3 linked regions of the Elephas maximus indicus genome follow. The protein of the gene in region 3 binds, or shares a complex with, the protein of the main gene of each other region. Links are inferred from orthologs where the notes say so. Each region holds a gene or a part of one and is shown on either strand. Other genes may lie near its edges.

What was found.
Region 1: the proteins of SLC3A2 (region 3) and SLC7A10 are in contact, whole or in part, in a cryo-EM structure (PDB 8WNT), measured with the Homo sapiens proteins. The link is inferred for Elephas maximus indicus from reciprocal best matches to the Homo sapiens genes SLC3A2 and SLC7A10. Residues at the interface, in NP_002385.3 of Homo sapiens: Phe161, Thr162, Gly163, Leu164, Lys166, Leu169, Leu170, Val172, Ala173, Trp178, Arg182, Leu186, Phe189, Trp190, Trp193, Met196, Leu197, Ala200, Ile203, Ile204, Ala207, Pro208, Arg209, Cys210, Arg211, Glu212, Leu213, Arg534; in NP_062823.1 of Homo sapiens: Leu147, Val150, Phe151, Asn153, Cys154, Pro157, Ala160, Val163, Leu164, Met166, Ala167, Met170, Leu171, Trp174, Ser352, Val359, Glu481, Thr484, His485, Trp486, Gln488, Glu489, Leu490, Phe492, Val493, Val494, Tyr495, Gln497.
Region 2: the proteins of SLC3A2 (region 3) and SLC7A8 are in contact, whole or in part, in a cryo-EM structure (PDB 7CMI), measured with the Homo sapiens proteins. The link is inferred for Elephas maximus indicus from reciprocal best matches to the Homo sapiens genes SLC3A2 and SLC7A8. Residues at the interface, in NP_002385.3 of Homo sapiens: Thr162, Gly163, Leu164, Ser165, Lys166, Glu167, Leu170, Ala173, Gly174, Trp178, Arg182, Leu185, Phe189, Trp190, Trp193, Met196, Leu197, Gly199, Ala200, Ile203, Ile204, Ala207, Arg209, Cys210, Arg211, Leu213, Lys532, Arg534, Asp558, Gln559; in NP_036376.2 of Homo sapiens: Leu147, Leu150, Phe151, Pro152, Thr153, Cys154, Phe155, Pro157, Ser159, Gly160, Leu163, Leu164, Ala166, Ile167, Leu170, Leu171, Trp174, Gln294, Ser352, Met356, Val359, Glu481, Thr484, Leu485, Gln488, Lys489, Met490, Cys491, Val492, Val493.

The regions. Positions count from the first base shown.
Region 1 is NC_064839.1:15,224,532-15,231,749, forward strand, and holds the start of SLC7A10 (asc-type amino acid transporter 1), read right to left. Parts: upstream 3,072-7,218; 5' UTR 2,927-3,071; coding exon 2,776-2,926; intron 1-2,775. UniProt on the Homo sapiens protein: Associates with SLC3A2/4F2hc to form a functional heterodimeric complex that translocates small neutral L- and D-amino acids across the plasma membrane. Preferentially mediates exchange transport, but can also operate via facilitated diffusion.
Region 2 is NC_064828.1:34,543,827-34,551,906, forward strand, and holds the start of SLC7A8 (large neutral amino acids transporter small subunit 2), read right to left. Parts: upstream 3,099-8,080; 5' UTR 2,621-3,098; exon of another isoform or gene 2,355-2,620; 5' UTR 2,317-2,354; coding exon 2,166-2,316; intron 1-2,165. UniProt on the Homo sapiens protein: Associates with SLC3A2 to form a functional heterodimeric complex that translocates small and large neutral amino acids with broad specificity and a stoichiometry of 1:1.
Region 3 is NC_064825.1:126,011,147-126,018,776, reverse strand, and holds the start of SLC3A2 (4F2 cell-surface antigen heavy chain), read right to left. Parts: upstream 3,017-7,630; 5' UTR 2,906-3,016; coding exon 2,482-2,905; intron 2,036-2,481; coding exon 1,862-2,035; intron 1,263-1,861; coding exon 1,168-1,262; intron 1-1,167. UniProt on the Homo sapiens protein: Acts as a chaperone that facilitates biogenesis and trafficking of functional transporters heterodimers to the plasma membrane.

The sequences.
Region 1 (7,218 bases), on a different chromosome or scaffold from region 3:
GTAGGTCCCTCCCTGGGTGTGGATTGGGTGAGAGAGCTGGCCGAAATCCCTGAGTCAGAAAGAGAGACCCTGTGTGTACAGCCCCCGGAGGCACTTCTCTGTCCACCTGTTTGTCCACAGTGGAGTTGGGAGCGCAGTAAACCCTGGTCAGGTGAGCTCGGGAAACCTAGCTTAATCCCCAGCCTTCCCCCGCACTGAATCTGGCCTCAATTTTGTCCAGCACCGGGTCAGTATGAAGAAGGGCATTGGACTGGGGTTACTCAGACCTGGGTCCAAATCTGGCTCCAAATTCAAGGTCCAACACTTACAGCAGTGTCTCTTAACTTCCAACCCTCAGTCTCCACATCTGTAAAATGGGTATAAAAATTCTCATCTTGCAAAGGGGGAACATGTGTTTTCATACCGTAACGGACTAAGAGGTGTATGAACAAATACTGGATGTGACAATGTTGTCCTTCTCGGCTCCTGCCTCAGCTTGCCCTGCTCTCTCTGGCCTGTCCCTTCTAGCGCCTCCTTGCAGCGGCCAGCAGGTGCTGTCCTGAACATGGTTCAGGTGGAACCTTGCCCTTGCTCATAGCCCTGCCTCAGCTCCCCAGTCCTGAAGCCCCGCTCCTCAGCCTGGGATGGGGTGGGGGGGTAGAGCGTGAAGGAAGAACAGGATCGCCTGGGGGCTCTGTTGGGACACTTTAGAGATAAGTTCAGTAAGTGGTGACAAACAAGGACAGGTTATAGAGCAGGACTCATGGTTCTCAAAAATCAGGTGGCGAGGACAATGCAGATCCTGATTTATCTACAACTGCCTCACCCTCATCTCCCTGTCACTTTCTAGTTCAGGTTACTTCTCCCCTTGCCTGTCTCCTGCCCAGTCCAGCCTCCTGCCCTGTTGTAACCCTCCACGCTTCCCAAACCAGGGTCATGGGACCCCCACTGAGTGCCCTCGGCTAGGGGTTCTGGTCCTGCATCCAGTGCCCTTGGCCAAGTCACCCCTCATCCCGTGCCTTGGTCTCCCCAGATCAGCCTTCAAGGTCTGGGGGTAACAGGGTGGGAGGAGAACCTGGAACAACAAGAATGGACTGAAGGGTGGCAGAGCTGTAAGGGTAGACCAGGGGAAAATTTCTACAGGGTCTGCCCCAGAGAAGGGGTGTGGTGTTTAAGCTAGGCCTCTTTCCCCCTCCACCAACACGGCCATCTTTCAGGGAGAGAGAGAGGCCTGGCTGCCTCTGCCTGACCTGAGGAGGGTGGGTTGTGAGGGGCAGGGTAGGAATACAGCTTAAGATGCTGGGCTTAAGAGAGGCAGCCCAGGAAGAGCTGTGTCTCTTCCTGCATCTGCCAGGCCCTGAACTTGGCCCCAGACATGGCCATCCTCTTGGCACCATTGCCGGTCTATGACAAGCATGTTTCCTCTTCCTGGGAGGAGGGCAGCTCCTAGGGAGAGTGGGAGGCAGGGAAAAGCTCGAACCAGTCCCCCAGCCAAGTGGGGGAGGCTAGCCCTTCTTCCCAGCAGACAGCCAGGCAGGGACATGCAGGGTCAGCTCCTGGGACATACCACTCTAGGGGCAAGTGCGTGAGACAGCAGAGCTACCTGCCTAGGGGCTGAGTCCAGGGGAAATGCTCAATGAAAGTGTGAGGGCAGCCAAGAGTCAGCCCCAACCCTGGCCTGGGAGCTCCCAGTGTGGGGGCAGAGGAGGAGGAAGTGGAGACTCTGGGCCTGGCCTCCTGAGCCACCACGCTTTCTCCATTTTCAGGGGTCTGAGAGTGGGTGGCCATTCGGGATGCTCGATGCACAAGCAACTGCCACTGGCTGGGGAAGGGGGAGGCTGGACAGGCAGTAGGCTGAGAACGGTCAAAGCCCCAGGCATCCATCTCCTGGGACACAGGTGACAGAACAGGTCCCCCCAGGAGGGGACACAGAGGCACCTGATGGGGACCCAGGCCCAGTTCCCAAGGAGCCAGAGTTTGTGACTTGGGGCAGAAGGAGAAAAACCCAATCACCATTCTCTCCTCCTGAGCCCTCTGCTCACCGAACTGGGGGCTGGACAAACCCATCCACTCACAGGTGGAAGCTGGACCAGAGGGCTGGAGGCTGCAAATGTCAGGACCCCCACCCAGGGAGTGCTGGTCTTCAGGCAGGCTTGGGCTGTCCACTCCATCTCTGGTCTCCCCCAGCCACTGGCTGCTTCCCTTGCATCCTCCTGCCAAACTCTGCAGTGATTACCTGCTCTGAGCTCCTCTCCCCTGTGGGCTGGCTTTAGAAGAATAAATCACCTGTGCCACAATGCACCTGCACACAGCAGGGGTTCAGCGGGTGTCATGGCCCAGAACTTAGGATCTCAGGGGGCCTGCCTGCCCAGCCCCACACTAGAAAGGCTCTGGCTCTCAAGGAAGGGCTGTAGTCATTATTTCCATTTCACAGATGAAAAAACTGAGGGTACTTGACTTGCCAAAGTCCCACAACCAAGTAAAGGCATGGCGAAGATTCCAGCGGTGAACAAGACCTGAATCTTTCTCAGGTTAAAAAAAAAAAAAAATTCGGGGCGCCTGGGGAAGTGGGAACAGGAAGCTGTGTGGGCGCTCTGTCAGCCTTTGCCTTGACTGTCAGATCGCACGTTGCGGGGAGACACTGCAGGTGGTCCCGTGTCCACCCGCCGGTGGTCTCACCGTCGCAGACCCGGTAGGAGCGCCCGGAGAGGAGGTGCCCGCGTTCCGAGCCGCTGTACAGCCCCCAGCCTTCGGCCCCGCTGTCCTGGGCACCCGCCCGCCTCGGGCCCCGCTCACCGATGATGATGGTGCAGGCGCTCACCAGCCCGATCTCCTTCTTGAGCGCCACCCGTTCCGAGGCGCCGAGGCCGGGGCCTGGGCTGGGGGAGGGCGAGGGCGCGGGGATGGAGTTCCCGCGCCCGCTCGGCTGCTGCGTGTGCCCCGCCATGTCGCTGTCCCGCCGCGTCCCCGCTCCCAGCGCTCCCCAGTCTGTCCGGCCGGCAGCCAGTCCGTTCGGTCGTCTGTCTGTGCGCGCGCTGCCCTCGAGCCCGGACAGCGCCCAAAGGCGGGCGCATGCGCTGGCCCGGGGCCCGGGACCCGGGCCCTGGGCCGCCCGGGCCAGGCAGGGGCGGAAGGAGGGCTGGCCGGCAGCCCCTTCCCCCACCTCCCTTAAAGGGAACCCCCTTTGCTCCCCACCACCCAGTCCTGGCCAGGAAAGGAAGGAGGGGACTGGGGGCAGATTTAGGAAAACTTCTTAATTTAGTTGAGCGGAGGAAGGGGCCCCATTGCGCAGTTCTATTAATTCGCGGGGCAAGACTGCCCCTGCTCTCAAGGAGGCTGAGGAAGCTGGCAAGAGTAACAACTGTCCGTGGCCTGAGAATCCGCTGTGTGCCTGCACTTCAAAAAAATAAGTAAATAAATAAGCCAAACCCATTGTCGTCAGGTCAGTTCCAACTCATAGCGACCCTATAGGGCAGAGTAGAAGTGCCCCATTGGGTTCCCAAGGAGCAGCTGGTGAAATTGAACTGCCCTTTTTTTGGTTAGCAGCCAAGCTCTTTACCACTGCGCCACCTGGGCTCCTCCACTTCCATACTCCTTAAATCCTGGCACAGACCCTGGAGAGTGTCGATGTGTAGAATGAATGCTGTGCACTTTCTACAGGTGGAAGCTGAGGCCCAAAGCTAAGTAACAGAGTTCACAGAGCAAGTGGTTGGGCCTCCTCGGCGTCCAGGCGGTGATGGCCCGGTGAGGTCCGGCTGTGGGAGGGGTGGGAGCTGTGCCCCGGGGCCTCTACGAGGCGACAGGAGACTCTATGCACCTGGGATCAAATGTATGGGGAAATGGAGTCGGGGTAAAGACCCGGAGCCCTAACCCTCATCCAGAGGGGAGTCCAGGCCTTTGTGGGAGTCCTGGAGAGCGCTCTGCCCGTCTCCACCCATTGGCTTCTGGCAGGAAGTCCTGATTGCAGGCGGCTGCTCACAGGTCAGAGGCCGGTTCAGCGAACTAGAACTCTGGTCCTTGACGCAGGCCGCGGGTAGTCCAGCACGGCACCAGCTAGGGGGTTCAAGGAGGCCAGGCCACCTCTACTGCCAAGGGGACACAGAGGGAGGAGCTGTGGCCCCCGGGGTCGCGGGAGGGGCTCTGTAGTGTGGGCCCCAGGGGGGCAGCCTCCGCCCGTTAGCTGTTCGGATTATGTAGCCCCGGCCGGCAAGACAGACGCAAGGGGGCCGCGACAGGGCCACCGGGGCGGCGGGCGGGGCGAGCCTGGCATGGTGCAGGCCGGCGGCGGAACAGCCTTTGTCCTTTCCTGGCGGCCGCCGCGCCGCGCCGTCCCCTGCATGTGGATGAGGTCGCGCCGGGCGCCCCGTCCTTCCCCCGCCCGCGGCCGCGGGGCATGCGGGGGGCCGGGCCGGGGTCCGACGGCCGCGGGGCGGGCCAGGGTGGGAGGGGGCCGGGGTTGGATCCGGGCTGGGGTGGAGCATCGAGGCTGGAGCGCGGCTGGACCCAGGGGCTTTGCCGGCGAGGAGGGGCCTTCGAGGTTGGGGGTGGCGGGCTGGGAGCAGGAGCCGGACGACTGTGGGTGGACATGTTGGGGGGACACAGAGGGGGAGGCCACCCGGAGAAGCCTCATGCCCCTGCGCTCCCGTCGGAGTCCGGCATTCTTGGCGCCCTCCGCCTCCAGCTCCAGAGACGCGCTCCGCGCCGGTTTTCTTAAAGGAGCCTGGCGCAGGATGGGTGTGGGAGGCCGGGCGTACGGGCCCTGGAGAGTCCTGGTTTTTGCGGGTGGTGGGTTGCCGGGGTCTTGACTTTCCCTATCTAGTTGCCCTCGCAACGCTGCGGTCTGCGGGATAAGGGTCCAGCTGGTTGTCAAGAGACGGGACTGGCGCTGGCCTCACCGGCAAGAAGCCTGTGGGTTTTTTTTTTTTTTTTTTTTTGAGGGGGTGAGTCTCTTGTGAGACCTGAAATGTGGAGTGTGAGTATGGGGGGAAGGGGCGACTCCAGGGGTGCGCACCCGATAGACTTTATGTCCTCTTGTCCAGTCATTTTAGTGGAATTGCACTGGCGAACTCCCGTGGGAAAAAAAAAAAGGCTGGTAAGGTTGGTTTACCATCCAAAAATCAGTGTATTCCCCACTTTAACAGAGAAAGAAAAAGTCCTAGGACCTTTCCATTAGATGCAGAAAACACTCATTCATGATTTAAACAAGAAAAACCTCTTAGCAAAATAAAATAGAAGGGAACTTTTTGAGACTCCCCCAAAACAAAAAACAACAAAGCAAAAAAAAAAATCCTCCAAACAAACAAAGGAAAAAACAAAAAAGCTAGAGCTAACATCATGCTTCATGGTGCAGTATTGAACTTCTTTGCCACTGACGTTGGGAATGAGAAAGGTTACCAGAGCTCATTATGTCTATTGAACACTGGGCTGGGAGTCTTAGCCAGTGCAATAAGGGAAGAAAAAGAAATAAAAAGATGTGAAGACAGGAAAGGAAGAAATAAAACTGACATGATGTGATTGGGTGTGTAGAAAATCCCCGAAACTTCTACAAGTAAACTTAAAGTTGATTAGTGAATTTAGAAAAATCAATGGATACAAAATCAATTCCAAAAAAACTAATCGTATTTCTATATACCGGGAACAACTAAAAAATGTATAGTATAAAAATCAAATACCTAAGAATATTTCAATATCAGTCGACGGCACTGGGTTGGGTTGGTAAGAATAATAGTCACAATTTATACATTGATAACTACAAAATGTTCTTGAAAATATTTTAAAAGATATAAATTTTAAAAATTTCTGTTGTTGAGAATGTATACAGCAACCAAAAAAACCAAACCCGTTGCCATACAGTCGATTCCAACTCATAGCGACCTTATAGGACAGAGTAGAGCTGCCCCATAGGGTTTCCAAAAGTGGCTAGTGGATTCGAACTGTGGACCTTTAGTTACCAGCTGAAAGCTTAATTGCTGCACCACCAGGGCTCCATACACAGCAAACATATACCAATTCAACCATTTCTACATTTACCGCTTAGTGATGCTGATTATGTTCTCGAACCATTAACATCAATTCACTGCCCCCTCAGGTTCCCATCTCATCCTTTGAATTGGTATTGTCAATTTGATCCGGTATAAATAGTCCTTAAAAGAGCATAATGTTCAAGGCAGACATTTTTAACTAGTAAAGTTAAACTATTGTTTGGTTTTAAGAAGACTTCAGGGCATATTTTTGTTTTAAGTTTTAAAGATTATCTCAGGGGAATAGTTTCAGGGGCTTATTCAACTGTCAGAGCTCCAGGAGGTCAAGAGTCCATAAAAATTTGAAATTCTATTCTGCATTTCCCCCCTTTGATCATGATCCTTCTACAGTAATGGTAGCCAGGCACCATCCAGTTCTGGTCTCAAGGCAAAGGACGCAGTTGTTCATGAAGGCAATTAGCCACACATTCCGAATCCTCTTCCTATCCCTACTCTTCCTCCTTTGTTACAAAAAGTGAATAGAGACCAATTGTTGTGCCTTGGAGGGCTGCTTGCAAGCTTAAGCTTTAAAGACCGCAGGCACTAAGCAACGAACTAGGAGGTAGAACAGAAGCACCAAACACATCATGAGGCCAGTTAACTGGGATGTCCCAGGAAACCATGACCCTAAACCTCCAAACCAAAGAACCGAAGCAGCCTCAGCAGCTACTCTTTTTTATTTTTTATTTGTCATTGTTGTAAATACGTCTACCTAGCAACTTTTGCCAATTCAGCTTCTTACAAGTGTACACCTTTTGAACAACAATTACAATAATCTGCTGTGCAACCCTGCCCTTAATCAATGCAGACATTTCCCTCACTGTTAGCCCCCCTTTCCCCCTCCCTCCCACCCTGGGTAGACCCTGATAAACTTTGTTCTCTATGCATTTGCCTGTTCTTGCCTTTTTATGTAAGTGAGGTCATATAATATTTGTCCTTTTGTGGTTGACTTATTTCACTGAGTATAATGTCTTCCAGCTCCATCCGTATTGTAGCCTATATCAAGATTTCATTTCTACTGCTAGCTGAGTAGTATTCCACTGTATGTTATGTACCATATTTTGTTTATCCATCCATCTGTCGATAGGCATTTAGGCCGTTTCCACCTTTGGGCTATTGTAAATAGTACTGCCGTGAACAGTGGTGTACAAGTCTCTGTTCCAGTCTCTGCCTTCAAGCCCTTTGGGTATACACCTAGGAGTGGAATTGCTGGGTCATA
Region 2 (8,080 bases), on a different chromosome or scaffold from region 3:
AATACTGGGAACCATGGCCTAACCAAGTTGACACATATTTTGGGGGGACATAATTCAGTCCATGACACGGACAAATCAGAAGTAACATTCACCTAACTGAAATCATATTTATCATACCAAACACCCCCATTTCTTCACAGTCTTTGAAAATTGTTAATGGAAGAGATAAAAACAACCTCAGTACATAGGAAAATGCCCTCTAACCTTGAATACCTGCACATATGCTGGGATGGGTGAGCAAGGCTGAGATAGGAGGAAGGAGGTTTGAGTGTGTTTGTGTGCCTGTGGGCGTGTATATCTGTGTATGAATCACAGCCTTCCCAAAGGGAGGTAAACATTTAATCCTATCAGTCAAACTGGTGAAAGGGGTAACAGCTTCCGGGTTATTTATAGACTTCCAATTGGCATGTGCTGTACATATTGAGTACTTTGCTGATCTCATTTTTTAGAGCAAAAGTGATAAAGGAGATGGGAAAACAAGGGAAGTAATGAGAGATTCAGACCATGACTCTAAATTTTTTAAATAATATTACCTTTTTTATAACTGTAGATGCCTAAAAAGCCTCCCAGAGCCAGAGAATTAGATAAAATGAGATTCCATCTTGAAAACAGAGTGGAGATAACATGATCATTGTTAGTCTGGGTGCAGAGGTGAAGAGGATTATCTAAATACCTTGACTGGTTTTATTTGATTTCAAGGGTGTTCTCCAGTGTCACTATTGCACTGGTGCCCAATAGTCTCTGTGCTACTGCCTGAAACATGGTGTCACCCAGAGAAATGGACCCATGGGAACCAGGACACAATCAGCCTTCACATAGGAATTCTGGAGAGATAACACAGAAACATATCCAAGCCTGACAGTCCCATGCCCCTTTCTCTGGGAAGAAGGAAAAAAAGCTCTCTACCACAATATAGAAAAAACTTGCCCTGCTAGCCACTTCTGCCGAAGTGAGGGCTGTAGTGAGCTACTACCAACTACCCATCTCGAGGGCCTCTCTGGAAAGAGGAGGATGTGCTGTCTAGAGGTGCGGCCGTATTAGGAACCCCTCTGTCCTATAGAGAGGAGCCTGGGTGGTGCAAGTGCTTTGCGACCAGCTGCTCACCTAAAGGTTGGCAGCTTGAACCCATCCAGCAGCTCTGTGGAAGAAAGGCCTGGGGAACTGCTTCCATAAAGATTACAGCCAAGAAAACTCTATGGAGCTGTTCTACTCTGTAACACATGGGGTTGCCATGAGTCGGAATCGACTCAAGGACAATGGGTTTACAGGTCCTGCAGAGTGTATGGGGGCTCAGGGCTGCCTGTACTGGCAGTCTCAGGGACACTCAGGAGCTGCAGCTTCAGAACCTCCCAGTCAGAACACACATTTTACCTATTAGTTCCCCTCTGACTCCACCTTCTAGTTACCCTCAGTGCCTCTGGAGAACCTCATCGGGGTTTCTGTGAGCAGTAAGAGACAGGTTCACTCTATCAGGCAACCAGAGAGACTATAAACTATCCATCTACAAAAAGGCACAATCTGTCTCCTCTGTTCTTCCATGATTTCCTCACACATGAAATGAGAAAAACAGCTCTGTCACATCTACTTCACAAGGTTAAAGTGCTGTATAAGATGGAAAAAGCTATAGGAGTGCAAAATATCATTACTGCTGTTGTCGCTGTTTTTATTATTACACACCCTCTAGGAATATGGTTTCACATAACATGAAACAACAAAACATCTATTAAATACGTCTCAAAAACCAGCCCACAGGCTGCTGAGGAGATGGCTGCAGGAGAGCTTGTGAAAAATTTCAGTCCACCACCCCCATCTCACGCCTGCTGAATCAGAGCCTCTAAATGTGGAACCCAGAGCCCTATTTTTTAACAAGCTCCCAGGCAAGGCTGACCATCAGCCAAACTTGTGAACCCTATCAGCTCCATCCTATGAACACTGGACAGAACTGTTCAGGTTGGCTTGGAGGAATTGATATATAACATATATCACTTGCCCACTCCTATGCCTCTCGACCTTGACCAGCGCAGGTAGGTTAGAGCAAACGTGACTGACAATCCTTTTCTAAATGGGTAGGAAGCAAAAATAGTGCTTTAGAGGTGTTAAGGTTCCCCCAAGAGGAGCACCAGAGAAGGGGAGGAATGGTCAGTGGGAAAAGGAATTGGACTCACCTACAATGATACCACAAGCACTGACCAATCCGATCTCTTTCTTCAGGGCTACTCCATCCCCTCCGGAACCAGTCTTGGAGCTGGCATCTGAGTCAGTCCCACCTGGGTGGTTCTTTTCAGTGTTGTTTCGTTGCCTGGCTCCTTTTTCCATCTTTCTCAGTAGGATTTCAACCTCCAAAAGGTATCTTTCTAAAAGAGCATGTGTGTGCGTGTGTGTGAGTGTAAATATATTTAGAGGAAGCCTTCAAATTAAAATGCCCTTTTCTGCAATAAGGACCACTTCTACCCTCTAAAGAAGATACAAGCAGATTTAAATTTAAAAAAAAAAAAAAGGGAAATTGAAAATACTACTCTGTATGGGCACTTTCTTGTCACCGGTGCTTACAAACAAGGAAAGTGTGATTAAAAAGGAAAATAAGAGACGTATATATTTAAATATAAAAATAGAACTGTACCAGCTACTCTCTCTGGAATTCTGCCGAAAGGGATGCAAATCTTCAGAAATCAGGATGGTTCTGCTCTGTGTACCCAGCAGTGGCTTATTTCAGACTATCGAGAAGGCAGCCTGACTCCCCTTCAGCTCTCCTCCTAATAAGACAGAGATTGTCTTTACCTCCCCTTAGCTTTTTCTTTTATAATGAGGATAAAAGTAGTTTTCTATTAGCTGAAGGGGGAAAAAAAAAAAAAGGCAATCCTCAGGTACTTTCTTCTCTCTCAGAAAATCAAACTGTGGACCCGACCGGTTTGTTCTAGATCTTGTTTCCACCTGATGTGGGTTTCTTTTCCCTTCCCTTTCTGCCTTCCGCTCTTTCCTGGTGTCCTTTTATTTCTCGCCCGTCTTCTCGTCCTTGTTTTCCTTCTTCGGATCGCCGTCCTTAGGGCACAGGCTGCCCCATCTCTCTCTGGATTACAGGAGAGTGCCTCCTCCACACACGAAAGTGCCTCCCTTTGATCGAGGGCTTTTATTTGCTAAACTAGACTCCGCCCCCACCGCCCCGGTTCCTCTCCATCCTCAGTCCTGTCTCCTCCCTCCCCTTCAATTTAAATATTACCACACGGCCCCACGGATCTCTGAGAAAAGATTTTCAATTCTTTCTTTCTGTAATCGGCTCTCTTTCTACATCCGTCTCCTTGAAACGAAGTGGAAGTAAAATCCTTCCATGTCAACGGTTCTGGGAGAGTTCATTAACTAGTATAGCGTGACAGGTCATACAGCATTTGTGAGCTATATAAACAAGGAACAGTTGTGCAGACACTGTGAACACCAACAGAAATAAACTAGCTGATGTATTTTAAAATTTTTAACTCTGGGTCATTTGAGGCTACAGAAGAGAAGGTTATAGGCTTCAAGTTTCTGAACATGGGGGAGGGGAATCCACTTGTGAGGGAGGGGTATAGAAATAATACTGGTTATAATAATGGCAAAGAGGGTCATTTAGTGTGCTTCTGAGCTATGACGATTGTAGAGGAAACAAAATCACCAGAAAGAGGAGATAGTCTCACTGTTCACAGCTCTTATTTAAAGGTGGCTGAGACAGGACTCCTACCCACCCTGTTTCGGGAAAGAATGACACAAAATCTGGTTGGATGGGGGCCTTTCACGATTCCTAATATATTTTTGCATCTATAAATTACTTAAAAAGCCAAAAATATAAAACGCATTACCGTCAAGTTGATTCCAACTTGCAGCAACCCCGTATGGTAATGTTAGTCATTTCTGACACCAACGTGTCACCAGGTCAATTCTTAAATCAATTTAGTGAGATGTTGATAATCCCCATCTGCTTTTTAAGTCAGGAGTATGAGTATGACTTAAAAAGCAGATGGGGGGGCAGGGATTATCAACAGCTTGCCGAGTTAGTGTAAGAATTGACTTGTTGGTGTCAGAAATGACTAACATTACCATACAGGGTTGCTATGAGTCGGAATCAATGGGTAGCACACAACAACAACCAACCACATTGCTATTGTGCTTTGGCTTCCCTGAAGAATTTCATCCAGAAACTGCTGCCTTACAGTGAGAGCAATGATGTCTATCTATAGTAGTAAAGTACTTTGATACTACAGCATGAAGCAGTATAACAGACAGGACTAAACATCTAATATAAAAAGGTGGCTTAAATGGTTAAGAGCTTGACTGTTAACTGAAAGATTGGCGATTCCAACCCATTGAGAGGTGCCTTGGAAGACAGGCCTGCTTCTGAAAGGTTACTGCCTTGAAAACCCTATGGAGTAGTTCTACTCTGCACACATGGCGTCACCATGAGTTAGAATCCCCTTGATGGCAACTAACAACAACAATTAAATATATTATGCAAAGCGATTTGATTTTAAAGTAGGTCTAAAAATACTGTTTCTCAAGCTGACCACTAACTATAGAAATTTGGCTTTGCCTTTTGGAAAATGTTCCAAAACATTTTGGATTTTAAGAAAAATAAGAAACTTAATTTCTTAAAATGGGGCTGGTTGAACTATTGAAGTCAAGACTTTTCCAAATGGGGTAAAGTCTAGTCAGTATTTCACTCTGCTTCTTGATCACTCAGCAAGTATTAGAGGTTTCAAAGGTTGGGAGTCCCACCCCTTCTTCTGTCAGTTCAAGATATAACAAATTGAAAGCCTCAGCAAAAAAAAAAAAAAAGAAGCAGGGGGTGGGGTGGTATAAAGAGGATTTTCAACAAAAAGAAAGGCAGCCAGGGAATATAGCACAAAACTCTACAGGAGAGGATGAGTCATAGGAAATGAAAAGATTTTGAGGGAAAATTTGGTGGATTCATTTTTAAACAATCCAATTTGAAGACTTCTGCTCAGATTTCACCATCAAGGTATAAGGCAAATAATCTTCCTGCTTTTCAAATGTGCATTTTTTCAGTAATGTTTTGTATTTCATATTTAAATGATTTAGATTTAATACAGGCTATAAAACGTGAATATGATGAAGTCAAGGTCCCTTGCCAAAATCCGTGTAAACCCATCACGATATGGTAAGTTTAGCAATCTCAGTTTATGAATTAAGAAGCTAAGGAGGAGTTATAGGATCAAATACATTCTTGGGATACAATGGTACTCCCGTTGCCACCTAGTTGATTCTGGCTCATAGCAACTGCCTCATAAGGTTTCCTGGATCCTTGAACTGGCGACATCTTGGTTAGCAGCCAAGTTCTCAATCACTGCACAACCAGGGCTCCACAATGGTAAAAGTGTACCAAACTGGAAAGGAATGGTTGTTGAAGATTAATGTTTCTATTATTTTAACACTTAGCATTTACAAGTAGTTTATGACTATTAATGGTGCAATATAAAGCTAGGAAAGTAATCTTTCCTCCTTCAAATGGACCATGTATTCATATTCTGTGGCTTTCTTGAGGTTGAGATTTTTTTTGAAAATAAACTCTAGGTGTGTCAAAATCCCATGTGATTAGCATTGAACACAGGAGAGAAAGAAGGGTCTTGGTGTAATGTGCTGCAAAAAAATTTGTAGAAATGATTAATGAAAGTTTGTTAAAATTTGAGCACTGAATTCTTCTTTATTCTTAACTCTACCTTTGCATTTATATTTTTAATCCATTCTCTACATTTAAATAGTACTTTACAGTCTACAAACTGTTTTATGCACAATATGTCTTTTTTTCCTCCTCATTAAAAACTTTGAAAAACTAGACTTACTGGCCTGACAGAGACTGGAAAAGCCCTAAGAGTATGGCCCCCAGACATCCTTTTTAGCTCAGTAATAAAGTCACTCCTTAGGTTCACTCTTCAGCCAAAGATTAAAAAAAAAAAAACCAAACCCGTTGTTGTTAAGTCAATTCCGACTCAAAGCGACCCTATAGAACAAAGTAGAACTGCTCCATACAGTTTCCAAGGAGCACCTGGTGGATTTGAACTGCTGACATAGTGACGTTAATCACTATGCCACCAGGGTTTCCAACCAAAGTTTAGACAGGCCCATAAAAGGAAATGAGACTAAAGGAGCATACCAACCCAGGGCCAAGGGCTAGAAGACAGGAGGGAACAGAAAAGCTGGTAATAGGGAACCCAAGGTCGAGAAGGAAGAGTGCTGACATGTCGTGGGGTTGGTAACCAATGTCACAAAACAATACGTGTACTGACTGTTAAATGAGAAGCTAGTTTGTTCTGTAAACCTTCATTTAAATTACAATAAAAAAAAACTTTGAGTACACAAGGCAGTTATTTTTCCCATTTTAAAAATTAGGAAGCTGAGGCTTAGAGAAGTGTTTACCTTAGGTCAAAGACAATACATTTAATCTACTCACTACCAAGAGGGATATCAATGGCACTTTTCCCAGGCAAAATGATGCTTCATTTTTAGAGCTACTTGTTAATGCTTCAGCTTCTTTCACCTGGGGGAAACAGAAGACTTTTAATCAGGAACATGGCCTCATCTTCTTGAACTGGCATATAACTGTGACTTTTAGAGACCCATCTTGATGGCAGCATTTAATATCTGTTCAGTGACTTAATCTGGGTCTCCCACCACCACCATGTGTTATCCCTTTCACACAGTCTTCAGTTTGTCCATTTTCCAAGTAGAATAGTACTTTAGTACAACTCTGTTTCCAATACCTAGGTGACTATTTACAGTTGTTTTGCATGCTTAAGATAGAAGAAATTGATTCCTTTAACCTAGGAGCGGGTGGGTGAAAGGGTTGGTTTCTTCTAAATACGGATTTGGGAAGAGAAAGGCTGTGTATGGCTGACACCTACTGCACAAAGAGGGACATGGCATGGACACATGCTACTTGTATGAGTTAAATAATAAAAATACCACCATGTTCCAATATTTTTGAAACAACAGGTGTCATGGGTTGAATTGTGTCCCCCAAAAAATATTTGTCAACTCGGCTAGACCATGATTCCCAGTATTGTGTGATTGTCCACCATTTTGTCATCTGACGTGATTTTCCTATGTGCTGTAAATCCTACCTCTATGATGTTAGTGAGGCAGGACTCAATCTACAAGATTAGGTTGTTTCTTAAATCAGTCTCCTTTGAGATATAAAGGAGAAGCAAGCAGAGAGACATGGGGACCCTATGACCAAGACAGTAGAGCCAGGAGCGCGTGTCCTTTGGAGCCGGGGTCCCTGCACTGAGAAGCTCCTAGAGCAGGGGATGATCAATGACAAGCACCTTACCTCGGAGCCCACAGAGAAAGACCTCCCCTGGAGCTGGCATCCTGAATTTGGACTTCCAGCCTCCTAAACTGTGAGAGAATAAATTTCTCTTTGTTATAGCCATCTACTTGCGATATTTCTGTTATAGCAGCACTAAACGACTAAGGTAACAGGTAAGAAGCATCTGAACACAAAGGAATAGAGCACAAAGTTCATTCACTCCATTCTTAATTTTTTTTCTGAGTTCAATAGACAAGCACTTTATTTTTGTTCTTTGGAACAGAGCTGTGCAGTTTGAGGTCACTTAGAGAGGACTCAAATCTCTGCCTGGAGGAAACTCACAGTCCACGCTCCCACTCCATTCTTCTTATACTTACATTCCTGGAGCCAGAGGGAAATCTGATTTAGATTAAATCCAGCTTACCAGTGGCCCTCGCCTATGGTCAAATAGGCAGTAGCTTCCAAAGCCATTGGCTCTAGGAGCCTTTATTTCATTTAAAAACTGAAAGCAGATGAAAATTAGTGAAAGAAAAGGAAGGAAATAAAAAAGACAAATCAATCAGTTAGTATGCTGTTTGCCTTTTGGACATATTCATAAGTTCGAGGGAAGTTGTATTTTCTGGGATTTATGCACTCCTGAGAATTTGGGTGAAACTACTATAAGCAGGTTCCAGTTTGTTATGATGGTCAATTAATTCATGCTCTTCTGGAGATAATGATGAATCCTTACTCTGACACTTGAGACAAAAATTCCAGCATATTACTCTTCTGTCTGCTGCACTTGGC
Region 3 (7,630 bases):
CTCAGGACGACAAGACAACTATATTTTCCAACTATATTTTCCTGGGGAGAGTGTGAGTAAAAGAACCTGACCCAACAGGCCAAGGATGAAAGATTGAAATTAGAAACACAGCCCTAAGGCAGTTCAGACGAAGGTTTGAAAAGAGGAAGCCAGCTCTGCAGAACAGGCCCAGGCCTGAAGACCTGGCATCTCTCTGGCACACACCATGGAACCCCACCTCCACTGTACCTTTTCTTCCCTTTCTCTCACTGCTCCATGTACCGTCTCCTCCATCTTCATCTGAGGCTACCACCCCACACAACATGCCATCTGAAAACATTCCCTTATCAGTAACTTGTAAAGGATCTTCGAACCATTGGCTAGGGCTAAACTAGATAACCCCAAGGGTCCTACCCAAATGCTGGAAATCCAAGGTCAAAATCACAGTAGCCAGAAAGTGTCAGAGTCTGCCTCCATGTCTGTTCTACCCATTCTGAACTGGTCAGTGCCCTAGAACCCAGGCATCAGGAGCTGGAGCCGTGTTCAAAGCCCCATTCCCAGCCTGTTGAGTAGAGTTTGAGCCTACACCTTAAGGTAAGGGAGACTTGAGAAGTAGATTACTTGGGACTTCAAAGCCTTTACTAGCTGAGAGACCTTGGGCACACCAGGCCCCTCTGAACCTTAGCTTCCTTGTTTACACATTAAGAATAATGGCGGATACTGCCCATGGTTATACAGGAGATTGAAAAATGTATATAAAATACTTGGCACAGTCCCAGATACACAGGAAGCCCCAGTACTTACAATTTCACACTGAGTTCCACCCAAGACACATCAAACAAGAACTGAGAAATCAATCAGGGCAGAATTCCCACACAGAAAGTGCTTCCTTTCCCCAAAGGAAGGAAAGTCAAACTTCCAGACTCACATCTGAGATATTCCCTTCCTGGCACTGTCACCCACAAAGTCAGAGAAACAAGAAAACTGAGTAGTCCGAAAAGGAACAAGAAAAAATGGGGAGACTGCTGGCCTATCCTTCCTGCTGAGGGAGGAGGCAATCCTGCTTGGCTCCAAGAGGCAAGGGGCCCCTCAGCAGGACCTGGGACTAAGTGTACGAGGCTTCCTGAGAAAGGACCAAGACGACCCCAGCATCTGGCTCCCGTCTGCCATCAAGCCCAACACACTCACCTTCATCTTGGTGGCCACAGTGCCAACCTCAGTAGGGAGAAACCACGAGTTCTGGCCCCTATAGTTGGGAGTGAGGTCCAGAATGACCTGGATGCCTGGAACAATGGAGGAAGAGGCAGTTGTGAGAAAGACTCTGAGTGAAGGGAAAGGAAAAAATAACACACACAATTCTGCTGAATGTTTCCTATGCATTACCAGGTATAAAAGCTTGGATTTGAACCCTGACAAAACCCATTCCTTTGAAACACAGATGTGACCAACCAAGGGTCTTAAGATCCTGTAGTGCAGATGTTAGAGAAGGCTGAGCTGTGGGGTCCCGGGGTTCCCATTCCCAAATAAACCCTTTCTAAACACTTTTCTCTATAAAGAGTTGTGAGGCAGTATTTCATTTGGGATTTTTTAAAAAAGATTCCACTACTTTACAAACTTAAGAACCATTAATCTAGTTAAAAAAAAAAAAATCCTTACATTCTGCAAATAAGGGCACTGAAACCCCAAAATTAAATGATCAGCTCAATGTCCAGCCAAGTAGAAAGTCCCGAATCCCTTGAGAAATCCATCTTTCAATCTAACACAGTTCCCTGGTTCCAGCCCTGAGAACATAGAGACTATCAGACAAAAATTTTATCCTGCCTGTCCTCTGGCCAGAAGGCCAGGCTTTCTAGCTGTTTCCTCGTGAACCCCAGGTACCTACTCTTTTTTTTGGCCGAATGCAGGAGACTTTCAAAATCTTCCTTGGAGCCAAAAGTAGGGTCAATTTCCTGCAAGTTGGTCCCAGCCAAATCATCCTTCTGGTTGTTGTGAACTGGGCCCAGCACAATGCCCTTCACCTTCAGGGTGCTTAGGTAATCCAGATGCTCAGTCAGGCCTGAAACAAGAGGTACCTGTTTCCTCTATCCTGTCCAAAGACGGAATAGGTTTAGACTGCATCACGAGACTCAGTGAAGCTGATGTAAGAATAAGGAGCCTTGCGCTCTGCTTCTGAAACCGGCTGTGACTGCCTCCTGGGGCCAAGAGGGAGGGGAGGATGATGAGTCAGCCACAATCGAGAAAGAGGGTTGGAGAACGACAGTTTTTCCTCAAAGCTGAAAGGGATTATGACACTGGTAGTCTTCCAAGACCCTGAGAAGGGTAGAAAGGAGGGTGAACCGGAGTAGTCTGCCCAGAGGAAACCAAAGGTGGGAGGAATGACACCAGACGCAGAAGTGGGGTTTAGGGATAAAACCAAAGGAGGCTTAAACCAGAGGCCGGAGGGTGGGGTATAAACCAGAGGCCGGAGGGTGGGGTATATACAGGAGAGGGGCGCGTCCTCACCAGCTAGGTTGCCCGCCTCGCCGGGCTGGAAGGCCTGAAGGTCACCGATGCGGTAGAGCGCACCCTTGTGCCACCACCTCTGCGTGGGCAGCTGGCGGCAGCGTGGTGCCTGCACGATGATGACCACGGCGCCTGCCAACATGCCCAGCCAGCCAAGCCAAAAAAGCACCAGCAGTGCCCAGCGGGTGCGCACCCAGCCGGGGCTGCCCGCCACCTTCAGCAGCTCCTCCTTAGACAGGCCCGTGAACTTGGCCGCCTCCGCCTCGTCGTCAGCCACCTTGATCTTCACCAGACCGTTCTTCTCGGCGCCGCCAGCCATCACCACGGCCACGGCTGCCCCCGACGCCGCGTTCATCGGCTGCTTCTCAGTCTCCACCTCGTTCAGCTCCACCTCCTTCATGTCCACCTCGGTGTCGTGGTTCATTGTGCCCGCGGAACCTGGGACAAAAGCAGCCTGCGCTCCGGTAGTGCCGGAGAAGTCCCCGACCTTCCGATCCCAGACAGGTCCCCGGACTACTGCACTCAGCCGCTTCCGCTACAAGGACTGAAACAGGGCAACGCGCTCGGGAAATTAGCCAGGGGAGCTCCGCCCCGGCCGAGCCAGCCCGCCCCTTAAGGAGGAAGCTCGGGAAGCCTCGTTCCGGAGGACAGCGAGAGTGCCACACGGGGAACAATGGTGGGAACACGCCTGCGAATACAAATAGGGAGGAATATGCGGCATTCTCCATCCTCCATCTCCGACTTGTTACCTGCCCCTTAGGCAACTTCACCGAGATGCTGGGATGGCTGAGAAGAGCCACGGGCTTGGAGCCACCTTTAAGTAGGCGGAGTCTGTGACTTGTCCGCCCCACCCCCGCGGGTCCCTCGGCTGCCAGGAAGTCAGGGTGGGGGTGGGGGAACCCAGCACCGGCAGAGCAAGGCCCTCGCCCACTCCTAAGACTGGTGACTTACCCCAAACCATCCCCTTTTTGCCCCAGACCCAAGCCACCTCCTGGGCTTTCCGATTTGTCACAGCTACTAGCGCTCCCTGAGCCAGGCAGACCCAACTTCTGCCTTTTTCCCCCACCAGCCTGCCTCTCTGGGCCTCTGGTACTTGGCACTAGGTCTTAGCTTCTCTGCAGGGCTTACTCCCTCTCGTCCTTCAAGACTCAAATTTTAGTTCAACTAATTCATAACGCAACAAATATTTACTGAGTGCCTACTACAGGACTCTGATCATCAAATTTATTGAATTCTCTAACCCAGTCTTCCCCATGATGTTTTAAGATTAATTTGTCTGGGCAGGACAGTTGAGACTGACACCCCCACTTCTTACCCTACCCTACACCCACTTTCTGGTGCCAGGATATCAGGCAACTAGGAATCAGACATCCAGAAAAGAGTGATGGACAACCTGGGATGACTGGGACTGTAGCCAAGGTTCCAGAGGTGGGCCTCAGCTAGAGGCATCCATCATTTTCCTAGATGACTCTTCCCCCACTTTGCAAGGCCTCCCACAAATTATCCCAAACTCCTCCAGGATGCCCACCACCCATCTGTCTCTGGGGTGGTTTGCGCGTTGCTATGATGCTGGAAGCTATACCACCGGTATGTCAAAGACAGCAGGGTCACCATGGTGAACAAGTTTCAGAGAGCGCAGCTTCCATACTAGGACAGACTAGGAATAAAGGCCTGCCAATCTACTTCCGAAAATTAGCCAATGAAAACCTTATGGATCACAACAGAATATTGTCCAATATAGTGCTGGAAGAGCCCCCTAGGTTGGAAGGCATTACATAAAAGCCCCAGTAATGGATTCAAACATACCAATAATCATCAGGATGGGGCAGGACCAGGCAACATTTCATTCTGTTATATGTAAAACTGCCACAAGTCGGAGCTGACTCAATAGCCCCTAACACCCACCACCCCAGGATGCCAGGGTCCTCTACCTCCCCGTCACTTCACTATGCCAGGCCTTGGAGAGGGCACGCTCTGCAGAGGCCTTGAAGATCTCCCAAATTCATGTCACAAAGGTCCTTGGATAGATGGGAAGTGGGAGAGAGACAGGTTCACAGTAGGGACTCACCAGACATGAACACCGTGATGTGCCAACATTCTCAGGAACTTTTTGTTCCTGAGCAGTGCCAGCTGAGTTATTTTCAGAGAAGAGCTGAAGGAAATAAGTTCTTTCTTCCTCTACCTGGGCTGGAAGCCAGGATGGCTGTGTATTTGGGAGAAAGCAAAAGCCAAGATCCTAATGGTAGATGGAAAGGGGTGCCAAAGAAGGGCCAAGGGTGTGAAGAGGCTCAGCCCCTTTCAACCTCCCAAAGCCCATACTCCACCCCTACCCCAGGGAAGTTAGAACCAACTCCTAGGGGAAGGCAGGCAAGTGGTAGAGACTGGGGTTCTGACGAGTGCTCAAAGATGATAAAAGGTCCAAGGTACCCTGGGCATGCCAGATAGTAGTGCCAACCAGAGCCTCTGGACAGACTTTGTCCCCAGCATGAAGACTCACTGCTGAAAACTGAGAACTGTGGGGTCAGAAGCTCTCCTTGAGATGGACCCACATAACACTCCCTAAGAACATGACATCTCACTCACAGCCCCCCATGGCTCCAGATGGATGAAGCCAATTCCTTCTACATCTAGTAATAAAGCTAACAACTTACCTGCCCCCCAAAGCTTCTCACACAGCACACCTTCTGTTCCAGCTATATCAGCCTTCGAACATCTACCAGTTTCAGAACACATCAGGCTTTCTCAGACCTCTGCATCTTTGTACAGGCCATTCCCTCTGCTGTTTTGCCTTTCCTGTTCTGCCACTCTACCTCGTAAACTCCTACTTCTTCCAGACCTAGCTTAAATTACAGCCTTTCCCAACTCCCCCGACAGAATTACTTTTCCTCCAGTGTGGCCATCTCTGCTACAACTCATGCCCCGTTTGTTTATTACATTTCCTGTCTGGGTATCTGTTTGCACTTCAAGACAAGTGGCAGGGACCATGGGCTAGCTGTCAATGAAGCTGCCTGCTCAGTGGGAGCATACAATAGGCACTTTATCAGTGTCTGGTAAAGGAGTGGATGAACTACATAAATCAAACCCAAATATTTCCCTTCTTAGAAACAGCAGTAGTAGCATGGTAAGCTAAAGGAATAAAAATGAACAGGAATTTAAACAACACTGTATCAAGATAAAGGTGTTTATGCACACCAAAGCTTATAACTGGTCAGCCGAAATAAAATTGTAAGTTTGGGGGGAAGGGAAAAACAGGACAGCAGCGGAGAATGAGTGGAGACAGAGGCCAGACAGTGACTAGATAGCCTCAGATTTGACACTGTGTGCTGACAAATATAAAACTGAGTATTTACTATAGGACATGCAAAGTATATAATTTGTCAAGAAGACTTTTGCCTTCAAGAGAAGGCTGTGGCAAAGCAGGAAAAAAAAAAAATGCAGTTCAGCAGTCAAAAAAGACCACATGAGGTCATGAGTCTGAGTGTTCTCCACTCAGGCGGGCAGACAGCATGGGGCCCTGCAAGGCAGAGGGCCAAGTGTACAAAGAAAGCTCCTTTCTAACTCCCTGTTGCAAAAATCCCTATCACGTGCTTCCCAGGAGATGAGGACTACCTGATCTTAGCCAAAAGATAGGGAAGTTACCCATCCACCCCACCTCCACCCGCCCCCAAGGTATTTTTACTGGCAGATAAAAAAAATCTCCAAATCCAGAGTGAAGATGAGAGGGAGACAAGAGAGAAGAATGGTCACACTGTCTCTGTCCAACAGACTCTGCAACTCTGCCAGAGAGCCCAAGGCATGATTCCAGGGACCCAGAAACAAAGCATCCAGGCTCTGTCTCTAAAATAACAGACAGCCAAGAAGCCCTGAGGATTTCAACCATTTGAAATTCAGCATTTGGAAGTCAAAGTGCGGCTGAGATGAAAGCAGAGGAGGCGGACCCCAACCAAAGGGACTCACTTGGCAGCTGTCATTTGAGAAAACCATGTTAGAATAATGTAGTTACCAAGAATCCCGCAGGAGGAAGACCGACCGCTAAAGCAGAGAACTGCTAGGGTTGTCTAAGTGAAGGGTGAGGAATGTGAGGGGGAGGGCGGCAGGAGGGATGGAAAAGCTGGTGATAGGGAACCCAAGGTTGAGAAGGGAGAGTGTTGACATGTCGTGGAGTTGTTAACCAGTGTCATAAAGCAATATGTGTACTGTTTAATGAGAAGCTAATTTGTTCTGTAAACTTTCATCTAAAGTTCAATAAAAAATATATATTTATATGCATATCTATATGTATACATACAGATGAATGTCTTTTAGACCTCAAAGAAAAGATTTCTTAAACAAGACACACACAAAAAAATGTGGACTATAAAAGATTACTACTTAAAAAAAGTTATTGTGGTCAAATATAGATAACAAAAAATTTGCTATTTTAACTATTTTTAAATGTACAATCAATGGGGTTAATTACATTCAACATGTCATGCAAACCATCACTGCTATCCATTCCCAAGGGTTTTTCATCAGCCCAAAGAGAAACTTAGTACTCCTTAAGCAGTAAATCCCCATCCCCCAGCCCCTGGTTACTACTAATAACCTTCTGTCTCTATGCATTTGCCTGTTCTAGATATTTCCTGTAAGTGGGATCATGTAATATGTGTCTTTTGTGTCTGACTAATTTCACTCTGTATAGTGTTTTCAAGGTGCATCCATGTTGTAGCATGTATCAGAACTTCATATGTCTTTATGGTTGAATAATACTCTATTGTATGGCTATACTACGTTTTGTTTATCTATTACTCTGTTGATGGACACTTGGGTTGTTTCTACCTTTTGGCTGTTTGTGAATAATGTTGCAATGAACACTGGTGTACAAATGCTGTTTGAGTCCCTGCTTTCAAGTCTCTTGGGTGTATCTATCTAGAAGTGGAATTGCTGGGTCATATGGTAATTCTGTAACTTTTTGAGGAACCATCAAACTTTTTTATAGCAACTGCACGGTTTTACATTCCCACTAACAATGCGTGCCCCCACATATCTATCAGTTTGTCGTGCTGTGGGGGTTTGGGTGTTGCAGTGATGCTGGAAGCTATATACCAGTGTTTGGATACCAGTAGGGTCACCCATAGCAGACAGGTTTCAGCTGAGCTTCCGGGCTAAG